3 linked regions of the Rhinolophus ferrumequinum genome follow. The protein of the gene in region 1 purifies or fractionates together with the protein of each later gene. This does not show direct contact. Links are inferred from orthologs where the notes say so. Each region holds a gene or a part of one and is shown in the gene's direction. Other genes may lie near its edges. The genes, in order: ARHGEF6, GIT1 and NHERF2.

Region 1 (6,989 bases):
AGGACTAAGTGGTTCTAATGTTGGATTGTGTTCCTGTGGATATTGAGATGACCCAGATGTTGGCAGAAAGAAAGGCAGAAAATAAATCAATTTATTTCTCCAAGTGTGACCTTGGTCCACCTGCATCAGAATCAGGTTGGGTACTTTAGTGATACAGATTCCTTTGTCCCATTGTGGATCTTCTGAACTAAGGTATTGGTGAATAGGGCTCCCAAATCATTTTAACAAGTGCCTCAGTAGATTTAAATTTTTTTCTTTTGTTTCTGTTTTTTTTTTTCATTTAAACATTTTATTTTATTTTATTTTTATTAGTTTCAGGTGCACAAGACAAAGTAATACTTAGACGTTTATCATTTATATCCCTCACATTGTGGGCCCCCCTGCCCCCATCCACTATCTCTCTGACATCGCACTGAGTCATCCCATTTCCACTGTCTCCACTCCCAATGCTGTACTCCGCTTCTTGTAAGTATATACATACATATATATACATATATATATCTATAAAATTATAGTTGGCATTATTATTCAGCTTCAGGTGTACAGTGCAGTGATCAGGCATCTACATCTTCCCTGAGATGGTCTCCCAAATGGGACACGTGTCCATCGGATACCCTACAAAATCTTTACAACATTATTGATTACGTTCCCCAGATTAATTTTCAAAACCCCGTGGCCATCTTGTGATTACTGACCGTATTCTAATCCCCTCACCTTCCCCCTTACCCCCACCCCCCCCCATCTAGCAACCCTCAGTTTCTTTTAAAGGAGGATGCAGCTCATAGTGGCCCATGTGGGGATTGAACCAGCAACCTTGGTGTACCAGCACCAGATTTAAAAATTTTAAAGTCAATTATGAATATTTCAAACACATAAAAGTAAACAAGTTCCAGTGTACCCAGCAACCAGTTTTAAGAAATGTTAACATTTACCTTACTTCCTGCAGATCTTTTTACTTTTAATAAAATGTTGCCTATTTTGGCTCAAGTTCAATTCTCATTCTTTTCTCCTCCTTCCCTCACAAGAGGTGATTATTTTTGTACATCGTTGTTTGTAAATCATTGCTTTAGGCCTTTGAGGGTTATTGAGCAGAGGTATTACACTGTTAAAGAGGTGTTTTTGGAAAATCAACCAAGCTGTGCTCTGCCAGAGTTCATTAGGAGAGAAAACGGAGGTAGGAAAGCCAGTGAAGACACACGTTCAGTGGCTCAGGGTATATGGTACTAACGATCTTAAGTAGAGTGAGAGACCTTTGCTCTTTTTACTCATGCTTTTGTGTGAAGACTGCTCTTTGTGCGACTGTGACCTCCAGTCTTTATATTCCCCACCCTTATTTCCCCAGTTCATCAGCTCCTTTCTATCATCACTGGCTTCCTTACCCAGCCAGGGTTTCATGATTAGTCATTTCGCCCATATGCTTGCTACTGTCTCAGAATTCCTTGCTTTCTTGACATTTGACCATACCAACATCTTCCAGTCTTTCTACTCATAGAATTGTTGCTTCTGCCTTGAGGAGGTGGCCTTGCCTTTCTGATTTTACTTTATTACTTAGAGTAATTTGCTGTAGTCAGGGTCCAAAATGAGGCAGATTTTCATCCAGGTGACCTTCGTGGGCTCAAGCGTATTTTGGACTAGGATGGATTCCTGAAATTACTGACTCTTTGGTCTTCATCAGAAAATGTAAGTGATATGTCAATAATACTGCCTGATTTATTTGTCTGTAGAGTACAATTTTGATGAGTAATTGTGAAAACTGTGCAAATGACATATAAAATGTGTTTAAACAGATTAGATTTGGGAATTTCATTTATCAACAAATGGATTTTGTTTTTATTTCCATTACATAGAGTTGGCCATAGGTCAAAAGTCAATTAAAACTTTTGATTGATTATACCTATTTTGCTTATAAGTATGAATACATCAAACCAAATATTTGGAGGTCAAATCTTTGTTATAGAACTATTGATATGTGCAACAACATAAATGAATCTCAAAATGATGATGTTGATTGAAAGAATCCAGACAAAAAATGTACCAAACTGTGCACTTCCATTCATATAAGATCCTAGAAAATGCAAACTAATCTATAGGGACTGAAAGCAGATTGGTGGTTTCTTGGGATTTGGGGGGAAGGGAGGGAAGGGTTTAAAAGGTCACAAGGACACTTTGGGCAGTGATGGAAAGGTTTATCTGGATTGTGTGTATGATGTGTGATTGTATCTCAGGTGTATACATCAAAATTCATTACATAATACATATTAAATATGTGTAGTTTATTATGTCAATTATGTCTCAATAACAGTACACAAATCATTAGCAAGGAAAAAAATGTTTGTTTTAAGACATTAAAACAAATAAAAACATCTTTGTTGTAATCAGGTAATGTTTATACCCAGAAGACAATACGAGTTCATTCATTCATTCATTCAGCATTTTTGAACATCTACTGTGTACCAGGCACTCTGCTGGGAACAATGTTAAACAAGACAGATAAGACTCCTACCCTGGGGAGGTTACTTTCTGGTGGAGGAGACAGATCAACAAGTAATAATAGTAAAATGTGATAAGTGTTATGACAGGGCAGGAAGGGGAAGCTTTGAAAATATTTAGCAGGATTATCTAAATTGATTATTTGGTAGTAGATGCCTAAAGCTGTGTTGAAAAGGACTGTGACGCTTAGGAGGATCCCATGCATGAGGAGGGGTAGTGATGGTGAGTACCATGCATTTGCCAATATAAGGCTATACTATTAAAGGTGGCCTTATCAGAAATTTCCTAATGGTGTAACTTTCAGCTGGTTCTGAAAATGTTCGAGAATAGTGCAGATCTCTTGTTTTTTTTTCAGAGCAGTATTTTTAATGCAAAATGTTTATTGTTGGGGAAACATCAATCAACCTTCCAGACTATAGTATAGACAGAGGACAGGTGCTCTTTTGTTCTCAAAAGTTCTGTTTTCAAGTGTTTTTTACCCACTTATGTGACTGTGTCTGAGCCTTTGCTAAGGGTACTGCAGCTGGGTTATGTAGTGGAACCAGGTCCAGAAAAAGAATTGCTAAAGAATGCAAGTAAACAGGATGTCAGATGTTATCCTTAGCCTATTTCCCTAAACATAGCTTTTTGGCTGCAAAGTAAAATGCCATTCTTCTAGCTTCTGCTTATATACAGTGATGGCCGACAGCAGGTACAATCTTTATTTGCTTGGCATGGTGTCACCATGCAACTCAACATGTTTTGCAAGGAATGGTCATGACATACCATCTCTGTGAGAGTATGAGGACATCTGGCCATTTTGTGGAAGACTTTTCTCAGCCTACCTTCTTTGAGCCCTGTTGTGCCAGCCAGCACAGCTCCCCACAAGGCTCAGATCTGTCTGACCTAAGAGCCAGTTGGCATCTTCCTCCTGACAGAAGCCAGATTTTCACTGGGGCTAGACTATTTATTGACAGCGTTTTCCCAGACTGGCCCAAGAGTGTCTCATTTCCAAGGTCCCCTGAAGTGCTGGCTCACCTCTGTTTTCCAAGAGCTCTTATTTCCTTCTTTCTCCTCCCTCCCCAGCATCCTCCTCACTTCCTTCCCTAAGAGCTTCTTGCACCGCTTTTTTTTTTTTTTTTTTGGTGTGTGTGTGTGTATGTTTCTTCTTCTTTTTTTTCAATCCTAACGAATTTGTTTTGCAGGTTTTGAAAAAGAAAATCAGTGTTTTCCAGGAATTTTATATTCATTCTCTTTGCACATCTCTGAGTGTGATCTTTGTGGTTTTGAAATCCCATAATTTGAGTGGGTTCCACCGTTGTCTAAGAAAAGTTGTTTTAAAGCTTTGCTCTGCAAGCACCAGAAGAGAACTCATAAAAAGGAAGACAACAGCAGATGCAATCGCGGATGTGGCTAAGTCCTTGCAGCTGCCCCAGAAAGCTGTTCGGAGGGTACAGTCCTCAGTAATGAATCCAGAAGAGCGAATCGTGACATGGCTTATATCCTTGGGAGTTTTAGATTCCCCAAAAAAGACCATCTGTGATCCGGAGGAGTTTTTGAAGTCCTCGCTGAAAAATGGGGTAGTGCTGTGCAAACTGATCAACAGACTGCGGCCTGGCTCTGTAGAAAAGGTAAGGACATCACATTTGTAGTATCTGTGGGAGTGCTTACCACCAGAGAGCAGCAATAATGTAACTCGTGAAATTTTCGATTGCCCAGGTCTTGGGACTCTATTACTTTAATATCTTTCTAAGAGTTAGACAATCTTTCTTGCTGCTTTTGTAGTGTGAAAAAGTCAGAAAATGAAATGTTATCATTTAGTAATTAGCCACCAAATTTTAGTATAATAACCTGTTACACCACTGGTACCAGCGGACAAGGAGAACACCCATATTATAAGCTTGCTCTGTCATAGAGATGCATGTTACACTTCCCTGTGTACCGAGGACATGTTTTGAACTTGGGGTACATATGAGTCTGTGGAATAATGGGATGATTTATAACAGATGTTGATGGTGTTTATTGATAGTTTGACTAAAATCAATGTAGATTTTCTTCTCAAAGAAATAAAATATCTATAGAAAGAGAGGCTATTTAGCAACTAGGATAAATAATTCCAAATGTTACATAAGGTTTTTAAAAAAATAGAAACTGAATATATGATTTGAATGCAACATGTGTTCAAAGTGAAACTACCCTTGTTCTCTTTTAAAAATCCAAAATTTTTAATGTTGGAAACCCATAATTACAAGGATGGATAATTTCCAAACTAGGCACTTTAAGTCAGTTTAAAGGTATAGTTCTACAATTATTTTCTTAAGGTCATCAGGGAATGTGACTGTGAGTGTAGTTCTTTTGCCTTCTTGAAGTAGTTTATTTTTATTGAACAAATTGATTTACTTATAATTCCTTAAACTTGAAAAGCAGTGAGAAAATGGTGGTAAAAGGTAGAGAATTGTGATCAAATGTAGAGAACAAAAAAAGGGAAAATATACTTTGAATAAATTATTATGAAGAGACGGGAGCAAGGTAGTGTGCAGAAAGCAAAACCAAGCTCAAAATACTGTCTGGGTTTCTCTAATTTGCTATCAGCACTCAGACAAAAGAGCATGAGAAAAAATTCATAGAGATGGCTTGAGACTAAAGATTTGATGACATTTGAAACAAAAACCAACCGTTTAGATTTTTGCATCACTTCCTTTGGTGGTTATTTCTCTTCCTGGATTGACAGCAACGCTGCTCCCTGCCTTAAAAAGCCTACCTATGTAGTTATTAGAGAATGGTGAATATGGTATGCTTGGCATGGGATGACAGTCTCCAAGTGACATTTGACTATTTTTCTCTAGTACTGTCTGGAGCCCCAAACAGAAGCCGACTGCATCAACAACATCAATGACTTCCTGAAAGGATGTGCAGCCCTTCAAGTGGAGGTAAGCCCACCCAGGTTGTCTTCCTTCTTGTCATCGTTTTTCACTCTGCTAGTGAAGGCAGTGCTGTAGTGTAAGTCCTTGGTTTATTTTCACTGTTAAACAGAGGAAGCATTTTAGGGAAAACCATGGTTGAGATTGGTGGTCTACAGTGGTCGCTTGCTAGTTTGGCTTTTCTAGAAACCAGTTTCAAAACAAAACAAAACAAAACAAAACAAAACTCAAAATATGATACCTTTCAGATACACATCCAGTCCCAAAAGCAGGCTTCCAGTGACAGAGCTTGTGTGGTGTGCTTCCCTACTAAGGGGAACCAAACATGAGCTGCTGGCTGCTGCAGAGGGTCACTGCATTACTCCTGAGTTGGAAAGAGTATCGTTACTTTTTCCCATTAACACTTTAGAACAGAGGCCTTGAAAAGCTAAGAGGATCCGGCCCTGAGTTAGAAATTGTATACTAAATTACATTGCATTATTTAACATTATATGGATCCTTATGATACATATTGGGGGTGTTACTGAAAGGCAGGTAGTACTCTCACCTGTGTGCCAAGTAACTTAACTTCACTGTACCACAGTGTTTTTATCTGTAAAATGGACACGATAATCAGTACCTCATGGGGTTGCTTTAAGGATCAAATGAGATGCTGCATAATAATGTAGAGTTAAGAGCTCCAACTCCAAAAGATCTATGAGATAATGTATGTAGAGTGCTCAGCACAGGACCAGGGACATAAGAAGTGTGGGCATGCATTAGTGGTATTATTTTTGGAGAAATATTAGTAGTGGTTTGAACATGGACTCTGACAATAGACTGCTTGGGTTCAAATCTCAGTTCTCCCACTAGTAGTTTTGTAACCTCGGGTGTGTTACTTAATGATGACTCTATGCCTCGGTCTCCCCACCTGTAAAGTGGGAATAATAGCAGTACCTATCTCATAGGATTGGTGTGAAATATCAATGAATTCATGTCCACGGAAGAGTGCCTGTCATGTAGTTAGTATTCCCCAAGTGTTAGCTATTATTATTAATACTAGTACAGGTAGCTTTGCCCCACAGAAACTTTGCTGGCTTCAGAATTTTTCCTAAAGTTAGCCACAGCATCAGACTATGCTTGTGCCAGAATATTTAGTTCCCGTACTGTGGACCTTAAGTTTACACAATGTTATGTGTCAAATATATTCAGTTAAAAACAATTCTTAAAAATTTGCCAATATTTATGTTTAGATCCATCTCTTAGTTATCTGGGAGCTTGAGACTGGGTGGTCAGTATTTTTGGCTGCTGGGTGCACCCCAGCTCAGTTTCTAGTTTCATTCCTTATGTACTGATTTTATTAGATTTCCCTCCGAGTCCTAGGAGTGCCTCAGTATGGGTCCCATATACCCCTTACAGGCGTAATTTTATATACAATACAGCCTAGTAATAACAGTAACATTAAGCAACTGTTATGCATGTCTTATGTGCATTGATATCTTAAATGCCTTAGATGCATTTTCTCATTTGATCCTTAAAACCATCCTATGCAAAAGATATTATTAATGTCTCCATTATACAGATGAGGACACTGGAGCATAGAGAGGCCAAGTAACTTTT
Region 2 (7,246 bases), on another chromosome or scaffold:
CCACAAGCACAAAAGCCGCGGTTCGAACAAAGAAGCGCTGCAAACTCGCCGGGGAGGCGGGACAGCCCGCGCCGCGCCCTCTCCCCACGCTGGGCGGGCGTGCCCGGCCGTGGGGTCCCCGCGGCGCCGGACGGCGCTCTTACCTGGCCGGCGCGGACCTCTTTCTCCAGCTCGCGGTGGCGGTTGTGCCACACGAGGTAGTGCAGCGGGTACTTGCCCTCGGGCCCCTTCTTGACGGAGGCGTTAGCGGGTATCATCGCCCGCTCCTCATGCCGGGGCCACGGCGCCCGGCCCGGGAGGAGGCAAGGCGCCGAAGACGGGGCCCGGGGCCGCGGGGTGGGGGGCCGGCGCTGCCTGCTCGCAGGGTTGCGGCTCAGGCATGTGCGAGCGGCGCCGGCGGGCGGGGGCGGCGTGCCCGGCGCGGTGCGGGTGGCCGGCGTCCTCGCGAGGCGGCGGCGGCGACGGCGGGCGGCGTGGAGAGGCCCCCACCCGCCCCGGGAGGGAGCGGGCACTCGGCGACGCGGCTCCTACTCGCTCCTCGCCTCTCACACCCCCGCACACAAAGACGCGGCTCCACAGAGGGAGCAGGCTCCCGCAGCGGGCGCGGGGGCGCACGGGGTGCGGGCCCCGGGGACGCGGCCGCCGCCGCAGGGACGCGCGCCCGCAGCCCCCGGCTCCTCGCAGCCGCATAGCCCGGCCCTCAGCCCGAGCGGCCGGCCAGGGATGCGGGGGTGCAGGGGAGAGAGGAAGGGGACCCGGGTGCCCCGGGCAGAGCTTGTTATAGCTCGGCCCCGCGGCATCATGGGGCTTGTAGTCCACCTCGTAGAACTGGGGGTGGCGAGTGGCCGGAAAGGGTCCCGCACTGTCCCCCTCATCCCATGAAAGCGTGGGGAGGGAATCAGGCATGGCCGAAACGGAGGCAGCGTCCTAATGCCAGGTGGGCTGGGGCGCAACCCCACCGCTGGCATTTTGCCTTTTGCCTGTTCATGGAGTGGGAGGGGACTACAGGCCTCGCCTCAGCATTGGGGGGCGCGGAAAGGTGTGGCCTTCGAGATCGAGTTTGGGTCCCAGTGGATCGTGAGGGATCTAGATTCCCCCCAAAAAAGAGAATTATGTGGGACTCCTGAGAAAGGTGAGGGAGATTAGTACCAGGGGTTATTGGAGCAATCAGGGGTCTGGCACCTGAATAATTATATAGGAGTCTTCCGTGCCCTCTTATAAAATTAAACTCCATTTCCCACACTTGACATTGGAAAGAGAATGTCCACTAAGTCTGGGAGGACAGTGCCCCTGCTCCATACACTGTCCTCTGCATGGACCAGAGTGGGGTTGGGCAGAGAAAGCAGCAGGTGGCAGCTCCCCATCTCCACCTTGTGTGATCCCCTCAAGAGAGGAAGTGACTGATTCCAGAGACCGACTGCTTCCTGGATAACCCCAGGGTAGAGAGGTCCTTCCAGAAGGGTCCCTGAAGACTCTCTGGTAAAAGTGGATGTTATCTCTGCGGACGCCTATTGCAAGGGCCGCCCTATTGCGAGGGTGGGAAGGACCTAGAGGCTTGGCCCAATCCCTGGAGGGAGGAGGGGCTGAGATGTTAGAGAGACCTGCGTTCGAATTCTTTCTTACTAATTGCCTGACCTTAAGCAAACTGCTTCTATTTTCTGGTTTCTCAGACCACTCACCTCTAAAATGAGACTTCCTCCTGGGGTGAGTTAAGGATAGTAACTGCCCTGGAAACTGCGCATCCCTCCCCTAACCAGGCGGACTGACAGGTGTTGGGGACCAGGCATACAAACGTAGTGCCTTCTCGAGCCCATCTTAGAACAAGACAGGAATAAGGAATTCCACACCAGCCCTACTTAGAACAATCTAAGAAGTGTTTGTGTGGGAGGTGCTAGCAAAAGCTTGCAAACTCTCCGCGCCTTTCTCAGGTTCCTTTGTGTGGTCTTCTCTCCTTCCTCCTCCACACCCTGCAGTGCCAGGCCGGGGCGGGGAAGGATGAGGAAGGAGTGGACTGCCTCGCCCCTTTCCCCAGCCTGGGAGGAGCCAGCCGGCGTCTCTGGCAGCCGGGGACCGCTGCCCACCTCGACCACGAGGGGTCAGCAAAGTGTCGTGGCTGAAGCTGGAATTGGGGAGGGGGCTGGAGCTGGGGAGGGACGGCTAGGAGTGGCCGGTGGAATGCCTGTACATTTCCTTATTAAATTGTTTTTAGAACGTTGTGTGTGATTTCTCTTTAACTGTCCTGCTTCCTGAGGTGACGACATCTCCAAAGGGAAATCCTGAAACCCTTTTATCCCTAGCCCCAGGCCCAGAAGTTCGGCTGTGGCGGGGCGGGGGGTTTCCGGAACAAAGTTTGGAGAGTGGATCTGTGCCTGGGCCACTCCCAGGTAGTCCTGGGCCAACCAGATGGGTCCGGGACTATGTGGGACAGGGTGAATCATCCTTTTTCCCCTGAAGTTTTGGAGCTCAAGGAAGGAGGGAACTCAACCTGGATTGGGGGGCCTATCCCCTCCCCTGGGCAGCCGGCTCTCTTTTTGCCAGGCAGCCATACATACACTCTAAACCCAGGTCGCTTTTCCTCGGGCCTGCGCGCTCCAGCTGCCACGTGCTCTAGACGCGCCCACACAGCAGAGAAACAAAGACGGCCAAGCGATGGGGCTTCCAGCAGCCGCCTCGACATTTAATAAATGAACTTCCATAGCTGGGGGTCGATCGGGTAAACCGGCGTCCACCGCTGGTGGGCTGGGCGCCGGGTATGGGCGGCCAGGCCACTCCCCCCTTTGCCGAATCTGGGGCCACCAAGCCTATGGACTGACTCCTCCGTACGGGTGCAGCACTGGGAGGCAGGTGTTGCCCACCCCCACCCATACTCCGCGAGGTATCCTTGCTGGCAGAAGCCCTGCCAGCCAGCGGCTGGCTGTGGGGGGAGGGGAGGCATACAATATTTTTTTAAAGGTGTGATTATAAATATATCCCGTGGATCGCGATTTCAGACAAACTTGTCAATCTCGGCTGCAGCGAAAGGCGATGGAGGCAGCTTTGCATGTATTTTGGGTGATGTGACTCATGAGCATTACTTGTCTACCCCAGGGAAGCAGCCAGTACACCCACAAGTCACTGCTGCTCTGGCACCGCCGGGATGAAATCGACCAACTCCGGCACCCTTGCCCAAGGACTCCCCCCACCCCTCACCCCACTCCCACCCCGGTTACAGAGCAGGATTCCCTGCCGCTTGGGAACTCTCCCTTAATCGTGTCACCACTGATCTGGTCCCCAGGCCTGGCCCTGGGAACCCCTGCCCTCCCCCCTCCCCACAAGCAGAGTGCTCTGGCCTTTTGCTGCTGCAGGGATGGGGGCTGGGTGCACGCGGGGCACACGTGTATGGGGGAGCATGCTCAGTGCCGGGGTGCACCCACGTGCGGCATGCGCCTCTGCTCCCTGTCCCCCACCACCACCCCGCCGAGTCTCTGTGTGAAGTCCAGGAAGAAAGGCTGCTACAAGAAAAAGTCCCTGTATGTTACACACACATGCCATGGACACACACTCTGGTGGCCCAGAAACACTATACATGTATACAAGACGGATGACAAGTGGATATTACTGCACACAGGCACAGTGGTCACTCCTCCGGAGGTCTTTAAAAACCGCCCAGATTCTTTCCTCTCTGGATGGAAGCATTGAGAAAGGCCAGAGATACAGCGATACACTGCGTGACCTCTCTGGCACCTGGGCGACCATATTGTTGGCGGTGTGCATAGTCAGCAAGGGTGTGACCACACACACACCTGGACACGCAGATGTGGGCACATGCGAGACCAGGACGCACACCTTACCCCAACCAAAGATAAGCGGGTACCCCAAACCACAGCCCCTTGACGAGGAGGGGGGCCTGAAGTTCCAGCTCCTTCCTCTCTTCCCTGATTTCCAGGGGCCGCGGTCCCAGCGCCCGACCTCCCAGTCCACCCCCCATCTCGAAAGTGAAAGGGCTGTGAGGGAGACTCACACTACCTCCGGGGCAAAGGAGCGCCAGAGCTGGGGCCAGGGCCGCAGGCGACTCTGCCCGCTCCAACCCCGCGGCGGCCGCGGTCCCTTTAAGCGCTCCCGCCCCCTCCCGCCCGCGCTCCCGGCTTCCTTTCTCTGGGAGGCGCGGCCCGCAGGGCCGGTCGGCGGGGCGGGTGTGCGGCCTGCCCCTCCCCCGGTGGGCAGGGCCTGCGCCGTTTCCTGCAGGAGCGGCCGGGAGCCGCGCAAGGGGCGGAGAGAGCGAGAGGCGAGCGGCGGCGGGGCGGCGCGGGGCGGCGCGGGGCGGAGGGCGCCCGAGGGCGAGCGGGCAGGCGGGCACGGCGGGTTCCGGGCCAGCCCCGAGGGCTGTCGGTTGGCCGGGCGCGCGGAGCCTAGCCGGGGCCTTGCTGGAGCCGGGCCGGGCAACAGGGGCCGCCGCCGCCCGGGCCCGCCGCCCGCGCCCCCCACGCTGGCCCAGAGGGCTGCGGCCGCGTCGCCGCTGAGGATGTCCCGGAAGGGGCCGCGAGCGGAGGTGTGTGCCGACTGCAGCGCCCCGGGTAAGCAGGGCCTGGCCGGGGGCGGGACCGCGTACGGAGGCCGCCGCCCGGCGGGCGCCGGGGCCTGGCGGGAGCGCCGTGCGGGGCCGGAGGGCGGGGTGGGGCTGGGGGCTGCGGCCTCCCGCCTCCGGCCTCGGCCCCCTCCCGGGCCACTGCGGAGCCGCGTCCTTGGCAGGAGGGCCGGCCTGGGGGCCCCCTGTTCCCTTGCGTCCGCGGACAAGCGAGGAAGGACATTCCCGGCGCCGCCTCCCACCCCTCAGTCTGAGGGAGGCGGGCAGCTAGCTGCTCCCCCCCCATCTCGATATCCAAACGGAAGCGCCAGCCTGGGGTGGCAGGAGAGCTGTGGCGGAGGCCGGCAGGGTTTAGGAGGTGGGGGCGAGTGTGGTTTTGTGTCATCTCAGTGCCACCCCCGCGTCTTGCACCTGCTGCTCGCATGGTCTGCTGGCCCACTGGGGTGGCGGAGGGCAAGGGGCAGAGAGCTGGGCAGATGGGCGGGGGTGGGGGTGGGGGCTTGGATACTGTTTCCTAGCGAGCAGATGAGGGGGTGGCTACTCCTAGAACTCCCTGCCCCTGCCTCCCAAGGCTGGGGCTCCTTGCAGGGCCTGATGTTCAGGACCAGAATGAGCCTGGGCATCTTCCACCGAGGCATCCCCAGGTCACTGGGTGACTGGGAGCAACTAGACTTGGCTTTTCCTGTGCCCCAGGAAGGCCTGCTTGGGAAGGTGGCTTGGTATTGCCCCAGCTTGGGCACAGACCCATCCTGGTCCTCTAGCCCAGTCTGGCCAGAAATGGGTAGGAAGCAGTGCGGAAGGGTGCCTCCATCCCAGGATTCCGTTGGCTTCCTGGCCGTATTTACTGTGGTCTTTCCCTTCTCCCTCCCAGCAGAGTCAGGTCCAGGCTGATGTGAAACCCCCCTGACCTGCTGAGGAAGTGAGGAGCAGTGACCCGAGAGGCTGCTCCCTTCTGATGTGGGAGGACGCTGCCAGTGATGGGCCTCAGCAGCTGGCCTGGGGAAGGACGCCCTGGCCTTTGTCCATCCTCTCGTTAGAAAAGGAGCTGTCTGCCCGGGAGGCTTTTGGGCAGGCTCGGGGGGTCTGTGAACTCTCGGGGACTGTGGGCACACTAAGTGGGAGAGTGTGGGGTGCTATCTTATGGGCCCATAACTTCCAGCCACACTGTGGACAGGCCCAGGACCACAACAGGTTGAGATCCACAGATGCCCTGGTGGTTCTATGGCTCCAAGCTAGAGTAGGTAGGAACTGTGGGTACCTGGCAGAGGCAGAGTGCTCTGGGGGTGGTCGTGACCCCGGGACCTCCTCTCAGAGCGCGCCATGATCTAGAGAGCTCTGAGGAAGCTATCTGGGGGGTATGTGTCCTCACCCTTAATTAGCTGGAGACTATGATCCCCTTTGCCCCAAGCACAGGCAGGTCTGGGGATGGAGGGACTCAAAGGAAAGCTTGCCTTCTACATATGTGTCCCAGGCTATTCTACACCTCTGCTGGGTGGGTGTAGCATGGTGGGGTGGGCAACTGGGATGGGCAGGGGTACTCTGAGCAGACATCCTATCGGGAGCCTGGATTTTAGTGGTGCCTTTATTTCCTTCTTACTCTGTGACCCATGGCAAGACTTTCCTCACTCTTGGGCCTCAGTTTCCTCAACTGTGAAGCAAAGAAGTTGGAGTAGAAATGGTTTTTAAGGACCTTCCTAGCTCTAAATCTGTGGTCCTGATTCTGGGCTTGAGGGCCACAGGACAGCATCAACATGGCAATTGTCCTTTCTCCATGTCATTTGACTGGCTACAGCCCCTGGGCTCCGGGAGGAGTGGTGTGCATCTGATCTATTGGACTGCCCAGCTCTGTCCCAGTCCTTCCCACAGAGGCATTTGTGCCCTGCGTACCTCCTTTTCCCCTGATCCAGGATACAGGTCAGGAAGAGGCAGCTGGTGAGAAGGTGAGGATGGCGAGGTAGGCAGGGTGCTGACAAAGTCTTACTCATCGCCCCACTCCAGCACCTAGCATGGTGTCTGGTACAGAGCAGGCAGCTCCCAAGTGTTTGGATGCTTGTCAGGATCCCTGCTGGCTGCCTGGGGCTACCCCAACCCCCCCCCCCCCGCCCCCATATGATACGTGGAGTGAGTGGCGTTCTCAGTCTGGGAACTATAGCAGCCCCAGTAAAGAGCTGGAGGGGAACCGAGAATCTGGAGCCCAGACCCAGACCGCCTCCCGGGCGTGTGCCTCCCGCCCAGCATCCTAGGCTTCTCACTCCCTCTGGTAGGAACCCTGCAGCCCCAGCCCGAGGAATGGAGTTGTGGCTTTTTTGTAGTTGGTTCATTTGAGGGGTTATGGAGGTGAAAGGTGAGATGCAGCCTGACCCCAAAGGTCCCCATTCTCCCTCTGCTCCCAGGTCTGGGCACATGGGATAAGCGTATGTAGTGAGGGAGCTGGGCAGGGCTTGGCTGCTATGGCAGCTGGTGCCACCTCGGCAGGCACCATCTGTGTCCCTGCCTGCCTTGGGGGTTCAAGAGAAGGGGCAGGGGTCAGTAAACCTGGAGAATGTGTGGGGCCTCCTTCTTTGCCCTCCACTCACCCTGCCACACGGTCCTGGCCCAGCTCTCAAGGGCCCGCTCCTTACCCCTGGGCCGCCGTCTTAACCTTTCCACTTCGGCAGGCACAGGAGTGGAGACCAGTGGGCA
Region 3 (7,238 bases), on another chromosome or scaffold:
CTTACTGGCAATTCTATCTCATCTCCTGGGCGCATCCTTCTCCCACAGCGGTTCCCTAATGTGGATGCTCTTTCTTTACTTCATTCTCCCAATTCTTACCTTGAATTTATTTACCCTGATTCCACCCAGTTTTTTCCCCCAGGATCTGAACTGGGGCAAGAGAGAGTCCCAGACTCCTCAGGTGAAACTCATTCTCCCCCTCTGAGCCCACTGCTGCCCCTGCTACTCCCCGAGTTTGGCCTTTCAAAACATGGGTGTCCTGGGGGTGGCCAGTTAGCTCAGTTGGCTAGAATGCGGTTCTGTTAACAAGGTTGCTGGTTCGATCCCCACATGGGCCACTGTGAGCTGCACCCCCACAACTAGATTGAAACAACTACTTGATTTGGAGCTGATGGGTCCTGGAAAAACACGCTTAAAATAAATAAAAGTTTAAAACAAACAAACAAACACCTTATCACCCCCAGTGCACACTAAAAAGGGCTTCCCACTGTTGGTGGAACTAAATCTGTGCTCTGGGTCTGGGTCACAGGGCTGGACCTATGCCCCACTCTCATTGCGCCCTCCCCACCCCACATAGCCTGCAGACACTCTGCATTCCAGAACAACTCTATGGTCCACCCTGAAGGACTCCAAGGTTCCAGGCAGGGTTAACTGCCCCTCCTTGGGGCTGCCCCAACCCTGGGCCTCCTCCCCTTGCCAAGGTACACAAATCCCTGTTTCTATGGGTCGAGATGTTTCTCTAGTGCTCACCAGCGCTTGGCGCCAAGTGGTCCACAAATATTTGTCCCCAAGTGCTGGAACACTTGGTGAGGCGCCCGATTTCATGTTGCCTGGAGGTACCCCGGTTCAGAGAGATTGGTGCTAGGTCCAAGATGAGGGAGCATAGCTGATTAGGGGCTATGCAGAGGCTCGGCTTCTCCGCCTACCACCCTCATGGCCCCCCTATGTCTCTGTGGGGCAAGCAGCCCTAGGACGCCAGCCGCATCCCAATCCCCACCTGGCAGGGCAGGACCCAGTTAGAGCCGCAGGGGCGGGGTCTAGGGCAACCCCTCGGACTATGCAATCTCAGCCAGAGCCCGCAAGGGGCGCTGCGCGGCCGCACTTCTGGGTTAGAGCCCCGCTCCGCGCCTCTCGCGATGGGAGGGGTTGGGTGGCTCGTGGGCAGGGCCAGAGGGGAGTGGGCGGGGCAAGTCGCCCCGGGCGTCTTGGGCTAGTTTCCTGCGCGTCTTCCCTTTTTGGTCCTGTCGGTTCTCCCCTTCTCTCTCACTCTCATCTCCGGGTCTCGTTCTCATCTCTTCCCGTCGCCCTCGTCCTGCCTGCTCCAATTTCGGGCTCGGAAGTAAGGCCTGGTGTCTGAGAGAGGAGGCCCTAAACGGGGCCTGGTCATCCCGCGGGGCCATTAATGCCCATTAGGGAGGCGGTGCCAGCCGAAGAAGCTCTGGGCCATTAGCGGGGCGTCAGACTAATGGCTCCACCCCCCAGACAGGCCGGAGCCCTTCCTCTGACTGTGACCAAGCCTCTGCCCACTGCCACACCCCAAGTCCCCTCCCAGGCTCAGGCTCCGCCCTTCGCTGGGGGCCTTGTAGCAGCGAGCTGGGCTCAAAACTCAGAGGAAAGTCCCCTCCTTACCCCAGGAGGACCATCAGGGGCCTAGAGCACTCACAAAGTCTGCATAGCAAGATGGCAGGAGTGGGTGAGGGAGTGGGGGGTGGGTTATCACCCAGACCACCTCTGATCTGACATCCTGCTGGCCTCAAGGCTCACTTCCCCTACCCCTTCCCCAGGGACCCCAAACAGTTCACAGCCCTTGGACACCTTTTAGCCCACACTCTGGGCCTCTGCCTTAGCCTCTTTCTCTGAAGCCCGAGGCTGGAGGGAATGGCAGGGGAGAGTTTACCTGAGAGCTTCCTCATGGCTGTTACTCCAGGTCCTTGAAACTGACTCTGCTCTCTCTTACTCATTCCTGCTCCCCCTTTGTAATTTTTACCAGCAGTTCTTTTACCACCCAGAATAACCTGGGTGGTTATTCTGTTGCTGTTACCCACCTCCTTTGTTACTGTTATCTTCCTGGGTACTTTCCAGGCTTTGGGGCCTCCTTTGTTATTGTGGGATGCAATGTTCTTCCTGGCCCCTGGCTGTGACCACATGCCATTACCCCTCCCTCCAGCTGTGTTCTGTTCCCATCCATCTTCACTCACAGGCTGAGTCCTGGGCTGTGGAAGGCGAAAGGGCCCAAGACTGATTAGTGGTTCTCCTATGGATGGGGGAGATGGTCTCCAAGCCTTCTGACCCAGGGAACTAGGGGCCTCTACCTTCTCTGGTGATTTCCCATCCAGCCAGCTACCTCAACTCTGGTGTGGCCCCAAAGCTACAGTTTGGCAGGTCCTGGGTGGTCCTGGTTGCTATAGGGTAATCCCTTGGGGTGGTATATGGTGGACCTCCCAGCCCACACCCATCCTCCCAGCCTCCTGGGGCAGAAGCACCAGGCTGGGCCAGGGGAGGCCAGTCGCAGGCCAGACAGGCAGCTTCTGGACAGGCAGACAGATGGAGGTGGCCAGCCATATGGGCGTCTATGGCAGCATCAGTCAGGAACTCAGAGGTGGGGGTGGGGGAACAGCCATGCAGCTTTGGCCTAAGTGGCTTTTAGGGGCAGCAGTTGGGGTGTGGATACCCAAGGGGCTGGGGCCCAGGAGGCTGCCCAGAGGCGGGCCTTGTGCTTGGGCGGGGGTTGGGAGCCCAGCCTGAGGGCACTGGAGAGGGGAGAAGTAGCAGCAAGGACTGGGCCGGATCTGAACCTACTTCTGCCCTCATGGGGAACTGTCTGGGCTGGCTGTGCCTGACCCCCAGGCACCAGGTATGTGCAGGGGGCAGGGCAGGGCTGGGGAGGGGCAGATTGAGGGGAAGCCTGGGCCAGTTGTCTTCTGTATCTGAGGCTGCGAGGACTGTGGACTTAGAATCTCAGCCCTGGGCCCTAGAGGAGCCCAGGGTGGGAGCCTCACCTTGGTCTCTTCCCTCTCCAAACCTTGGTCTTTTGATCTGTAAAATGGCCTGAGGCCCCTAGGGTTGTTCCAGGTAAAATGCTCTCAGAGGCAAGACAAAGCATAAATGATTCTTCATTGTGATTATTGTCCAGTTGTGGGAAGAGGGCACTCATCCTGGGAGGGGGTAGAGGTTAAGGGAGGGAGGTAGAGGCTAAGAGGTGGGGAGGAAGAAGGGAGGGGAGGGCTCTGTGTGGAGGATCCAACAGGTTTCTGCTCAAGGAAACACCTCCTGTGAGTGCTGACCACAGGCCCGAGCTCAGAGGCCAAAGTCCTCAGCACATTTCATCCCAGGTCAGGAGTGGGGTAGCAAAGACCCTCTTGTCCCAGCCAGACGAGCATTTCCTTCCCCCACCCTTTCTGTCACCTACCAGGCCTAGGATGAGCAGGGTCATAAGTGGGGGCCCTTGGCATAGGGAGGGAATGATGGACACGCACAGCACAGATCAGCACAAACACGCCTGGGGAGGGCCAGGGAGTCACCCAGTCACTGACCTCCAGTACATAAGTAGGGGCTGCTGCCATGTCACTTGCAAACCTCTCTTTTTGCCTCTGGGTCCACCCTGGGCCAGGGCATCAATGAGTGCAGGAAGGATCCATATATATAGACGGTGGTGGTGGTGGTGGTGGTGGTGGTGGTGGTGGTGGTGGTGGTGGTGGTGGTGGTGGTGGCAATGTAGCTTCCCAAGGAGGATGGGGAGAGCTGTGGCCCTCCTTGTTACCCGCTGTCTCCAGTGTGTGTGCGGGGGTCCTTAGGCTCTATAACACTTTCTCCATCCCTCTCCCACTTTATAAGTGTAGAGCCCTGCATGCAGTAGGTGGTTAATAAATGTTCCTGGAATAGAAGGCAAAAGCGCTGGAGCCAAGGAGGCTGCCGAGAGTGAGGGCGAGACAGAGAGGTTCCGGTGATTCGGGGTACCCTGTCCCTACAGTCTTCCCCCGACTCCCTTTGGGCTTGCAGGGCGCCGGGACAGGGGAAGGCCAGGATGGCTTGGACTCAAGGCGGGGGCGGCGGGGCACTGAGGGGGCGGGGAAGGGGCGGCGCGGGGGCGGTGCCGCAGCCGGAGCTCCGGTCCGAGCCCGAGGCGACGGGAGCCGAGCCGGAGCCACCGAGGACGCCGCCGGGTCCCCAGCGCCTCCGCAGCCTCCTCCGCGCCGCCCAGCGCTCCTGCCTGCCCCGGACGGCCGTCAGCGCCGTGGCCGGTCCGTGGTCGGCGGGTGGGCAGCCGGCGCCATGGCCGCGCCAGAGCCGCTGCGGCCGCGCCTGTGCCACCTGGTGCGCGGCGAGCAGGGCTACGGCTTCCACCTGCACGGCGAGAAGGGCCGCCGCGGGCAGTTCATCCGGCGCGTGGAGCCGGGCTCCCCAGCCGAGGCGGCCGCGCTGCGCGCCGGAGACCGCCTGGTCGAGGTCAACGGCGTCAACGTGGAGGGCGAGACGCACCACCAGGTGGGTGCCTGCGCCCCGCTGGGGCCCGCCGGACGCCCTCCCCGGGAGCGCGACCCTGTCCCGCGCGCGCGGGGTGGCGCCAACGACCACCCCGTCCGGCGCTGCCCGAGCCCAGGCCTCAGCTCCCTGTTGGAGGCCAGGAGGGGGGTCGCACCAGGGCCTGCGTGCCTCTCCCTCCGGGTGGTGGGGGACATGGCCACGGAGGCAGGGGCCGCCAGCCTTTTCCCTAGCCTCCCCCACTCCTCAGGAAGCTCGGTCCTGCACCGCGGAGGGGGAGATCCTGGAAGGGAGGGGCCCGCACTGCGGCTCCTTAGCTTGGCTCAGGCTCTCGCACTTTAGGCTTGTTCTGGCCTCAGTGTGCTAAGTGTGGAGGTGTGGGACACCTTGGCGGGGGGCTCTCCATGCAAGGGAAGACCCTGGGTGCTTTTCTATGTGTGTACACACGCGGGTGTGTACAAAACTGGGTATATGTGTGAGTGTGCAGGTCCCTCTGGGGATCACCCATGTGTGCACACATCTGCCTGTGTGTGCCTGGAGGGTGTCACAGTAGGGGCACACCTGTGTGTTCCTGCATCAGGGAGTGTGTGTGCTGGACTGTGTGCGTGTGAATATACACGTCTGCACCCTGGGTTTGTGTGTGTGGACAGATCTGCACACCTGGACATGTGTATATGAGCTGGGCTGTGTGTGTGTGCATGAGCGCATGCGTGCTGGATGAGTGTGTATGAGCTGAGTTGTATGTGTGAAAATATTTATGTCTGCGCACCTGGATGTGTGGAGTCATCAGTGCGTTTTTGGCAGCCAGTACTCTGGTGTGTGCCCTGGCTGATGGTGCCAGGGTCACTGCTGGGGGCAGCGCATGTCTCTCCTCGGAGGCTGCTGGCCTTGCAGGCACCACCAGCCGCAGCCCCCAGCCTCCTACAGCTGAAGATGAGGGCCAGAGGGAGGGCAGAGTCTCCTCTCTACAGGTTCTGACCCCTAGGGGTGTCCATCTCCCACTGGCTGGAGACTCACCTGAGTTGGGTCTAGCCTTCCTCCACTCCTCTGCTTAGGGTCCTCTGTGTCCCCCCAGTGCCTCTGCATCCATGATATGTTGGTGTGGCCAGCTCTTGGGGCCTAGAGATTAGTGTAGTGGTTTTTGGCTGGGCCAGGAGCTGACCTCCTGCTCTCACCCTGGGCCCTTGTCTATCTCTGTATCTGTCTGCTGTCCTCTGTCTCCCACCCAGAATGTCAACCTGATAAAGCTGTTTGCTGAAGGAGGGTGGGGGTCAGGGCCAGAGGGCTTGGCTTGACAGGTCACAGGGAGGGGCTGGCAGAGCTGGTACCTGTCCTCTGTTTAACACTCATTGCCACCCTTGCCCCTACTTGTCCCAGGCTTCCGGGTGCTGGTCTAAGAACTTCACACACAGGAGCCTGTGGGACCCTCCCACTGCCCCAGGAGGGAGGGTGTGCAGTTATAGCTCCCATCTTAACAGATGAAAAAAACCGATGCTTAGAGATGTTAGGTGACTGGTCTGGGTCCCACAGTCAGGAAGGAGCAGGCTGCTGGGGCCCTGCTGCGACTCTCAGAGTCACAGGGAGAGGAGGGACAAAGCAGGGCTGCGGGAAGATGGGCCTGATTCAGACCCTCCTCTCTGTTGACAAGTTCTGCCAAGCAGCAGATGGGGACTCCATCTACCCTCCCCAAGGCCTTGGGGTGGGTGTGAGTGTGTTACCCTTCCTACCCCAAGGCCCGGTGGGCACTTTCTCCTTTTCCCTGCAGGGCACCGTGGCATGCATGCCCCATGGTCACCCACATGTTTTAGATACGTCATAGGCACCTGCATAGACACACAGATGGCCACATGCCACACTTGTCCCACAGGTGGACCTGCCCCTCCCCACCTCCACCTGCTTGGTGTGAATCCTGTTTATGGGGTGCTGTGTGATGCCTGAGTAGGTGCCTTGCCACAGGAACCCAGGGCTTCCCCTCTCTGCAGGTCCAGCCAGAGTGGGTCCATGGTCCGGATCAAATAGGGGGCTTAGAGTCAGGGGTGTAGATGTCCATGCTCCACCATTGAGAAGGACACAAATGGGCACCGACCCACCCAGGTCGTGACACCCAGGGAGACGCCTCTCTCCCTCCAATCGACTAAGACCCTGAAATAGGTGGATGCATGCCTGCACACATGCAAACATACACATGCACACACGCATACACACTGACACACCGAAACCTGAAGCTCAGCCATGTGCCATCGTTGTCACTTCCACACTGGTTGCCTCACCCAACTTCCCTGCCCCTCCTGGAAAAGATGCTGGGCTGAGGCCCTGGGACCAACCTGCAGCCCTTACAGCCTGAGCCCTAGTGTCTGGAGCCCCGGGAGAGGAGCGACTGAGCGGCTGGAGCCCGGGGGTGGGGGGCGGAGCTGGCGGGCCTCTCAGCCCAGCGACCCCCCCTTGATAGGCCAGCTGCCTGCCCACGAGCCCTGCCAGCTTTGGGTGGTGCCATTGTCCATGTGCTGCCCAGAGAGCTGGCCGCTGACCCACCGCCACCTGCCCGTCCCAGGTGGTGCAGAGGATCAAGGCTGTGGAAGGGCAGACTCAGCTGCTGGTGGTGGATAAGGAGACGGATGAGGAACTGCGGCGGCGGCGGCTGACCTGCACCCAGGAGATGGCCCAGCGCGGGCTTCCACCTGCCCACGACCCCTGGGAGCCTAAGCCGGACTGGACACATGCAGGTAGCCTCGGCTCTGAGGCTGGCCAGAAGGTAT

The links.
Region 2: the proteins of ARHGEF6 (region 1) and GIT1 purify together in Homo sapiens (affinity purification with mass spectrometry; 3 studies listed by BioGRID and IntAct, counting the BioPlex papers as one, with this or other methods). This does not show direct contact. The link is inferred for Rhinolophus ferrumequinum from reciprocal best matches to the Homo sapiens genes ARHGEF6 and GIT1.
Region 3: the proteins of ARHGEF6 (region 1) and NHERF2 purify together in Homo sapiens (affinity purification with mass spectrometry; 3 studies listed by BioGRID and IntAct, with this or other methods). This does not show direct contact. The link is inferred for Rhinolophus ferrumequinum from reciprocal best matches to the Homo sapiens genes ARHGEF6 and NHERF2.

Annotation. Positions count from the first base shown.
Region 1 is NC_046284.1:19,496,591-19,503,579, forward strand, and holds the start of ARHGEF6 (rho guanine nucleotide exchange factor 6), read left to right. Parts: upstream 1-3,910; 5' UTR 3,911-3,935; coding exon 3,936-4,100; intron 4,101-5,315; coding exon 5,316-5,399; intron 5,400-6,989. UniProt on the Homo sapiens protein: Acts as a RAC1 guanine nucleotide exchange factor (GEF).
Region 2 is NC_046304.1:18,058,531-18,065,776, forward strand, and holds the start of GIT1 (ARF GTPase-activating protein GIT1), read left to right. Parts: upstream 1-4,228; 5' UTR 4,229-4,501; coding exon 4,502-4,553; intron 4,554-7,246. Other genes in the region: ANKRD13B (ankyrin repeat domain-containing protein 13B), read right to left, coding at 144-257. UniProt on the Homo sapiens protein: GTPase-activating protein for ADP ribosylation factor family members, including ARF1.
Region 3 is NW_022680357.1:3,770,243-3,777,480, forward strand, and holds the start of NHERF2 (Na(+)/H(+) exchange regulatory cofactor NHE-RF2), read left to right. Parts: upstream 1-4,137; 5' UTR 4,138-4,272; coding exon 4,273-4,485; intron 4,486-7,033; coding exon 7,034-7,234; intron 7,235-7,238.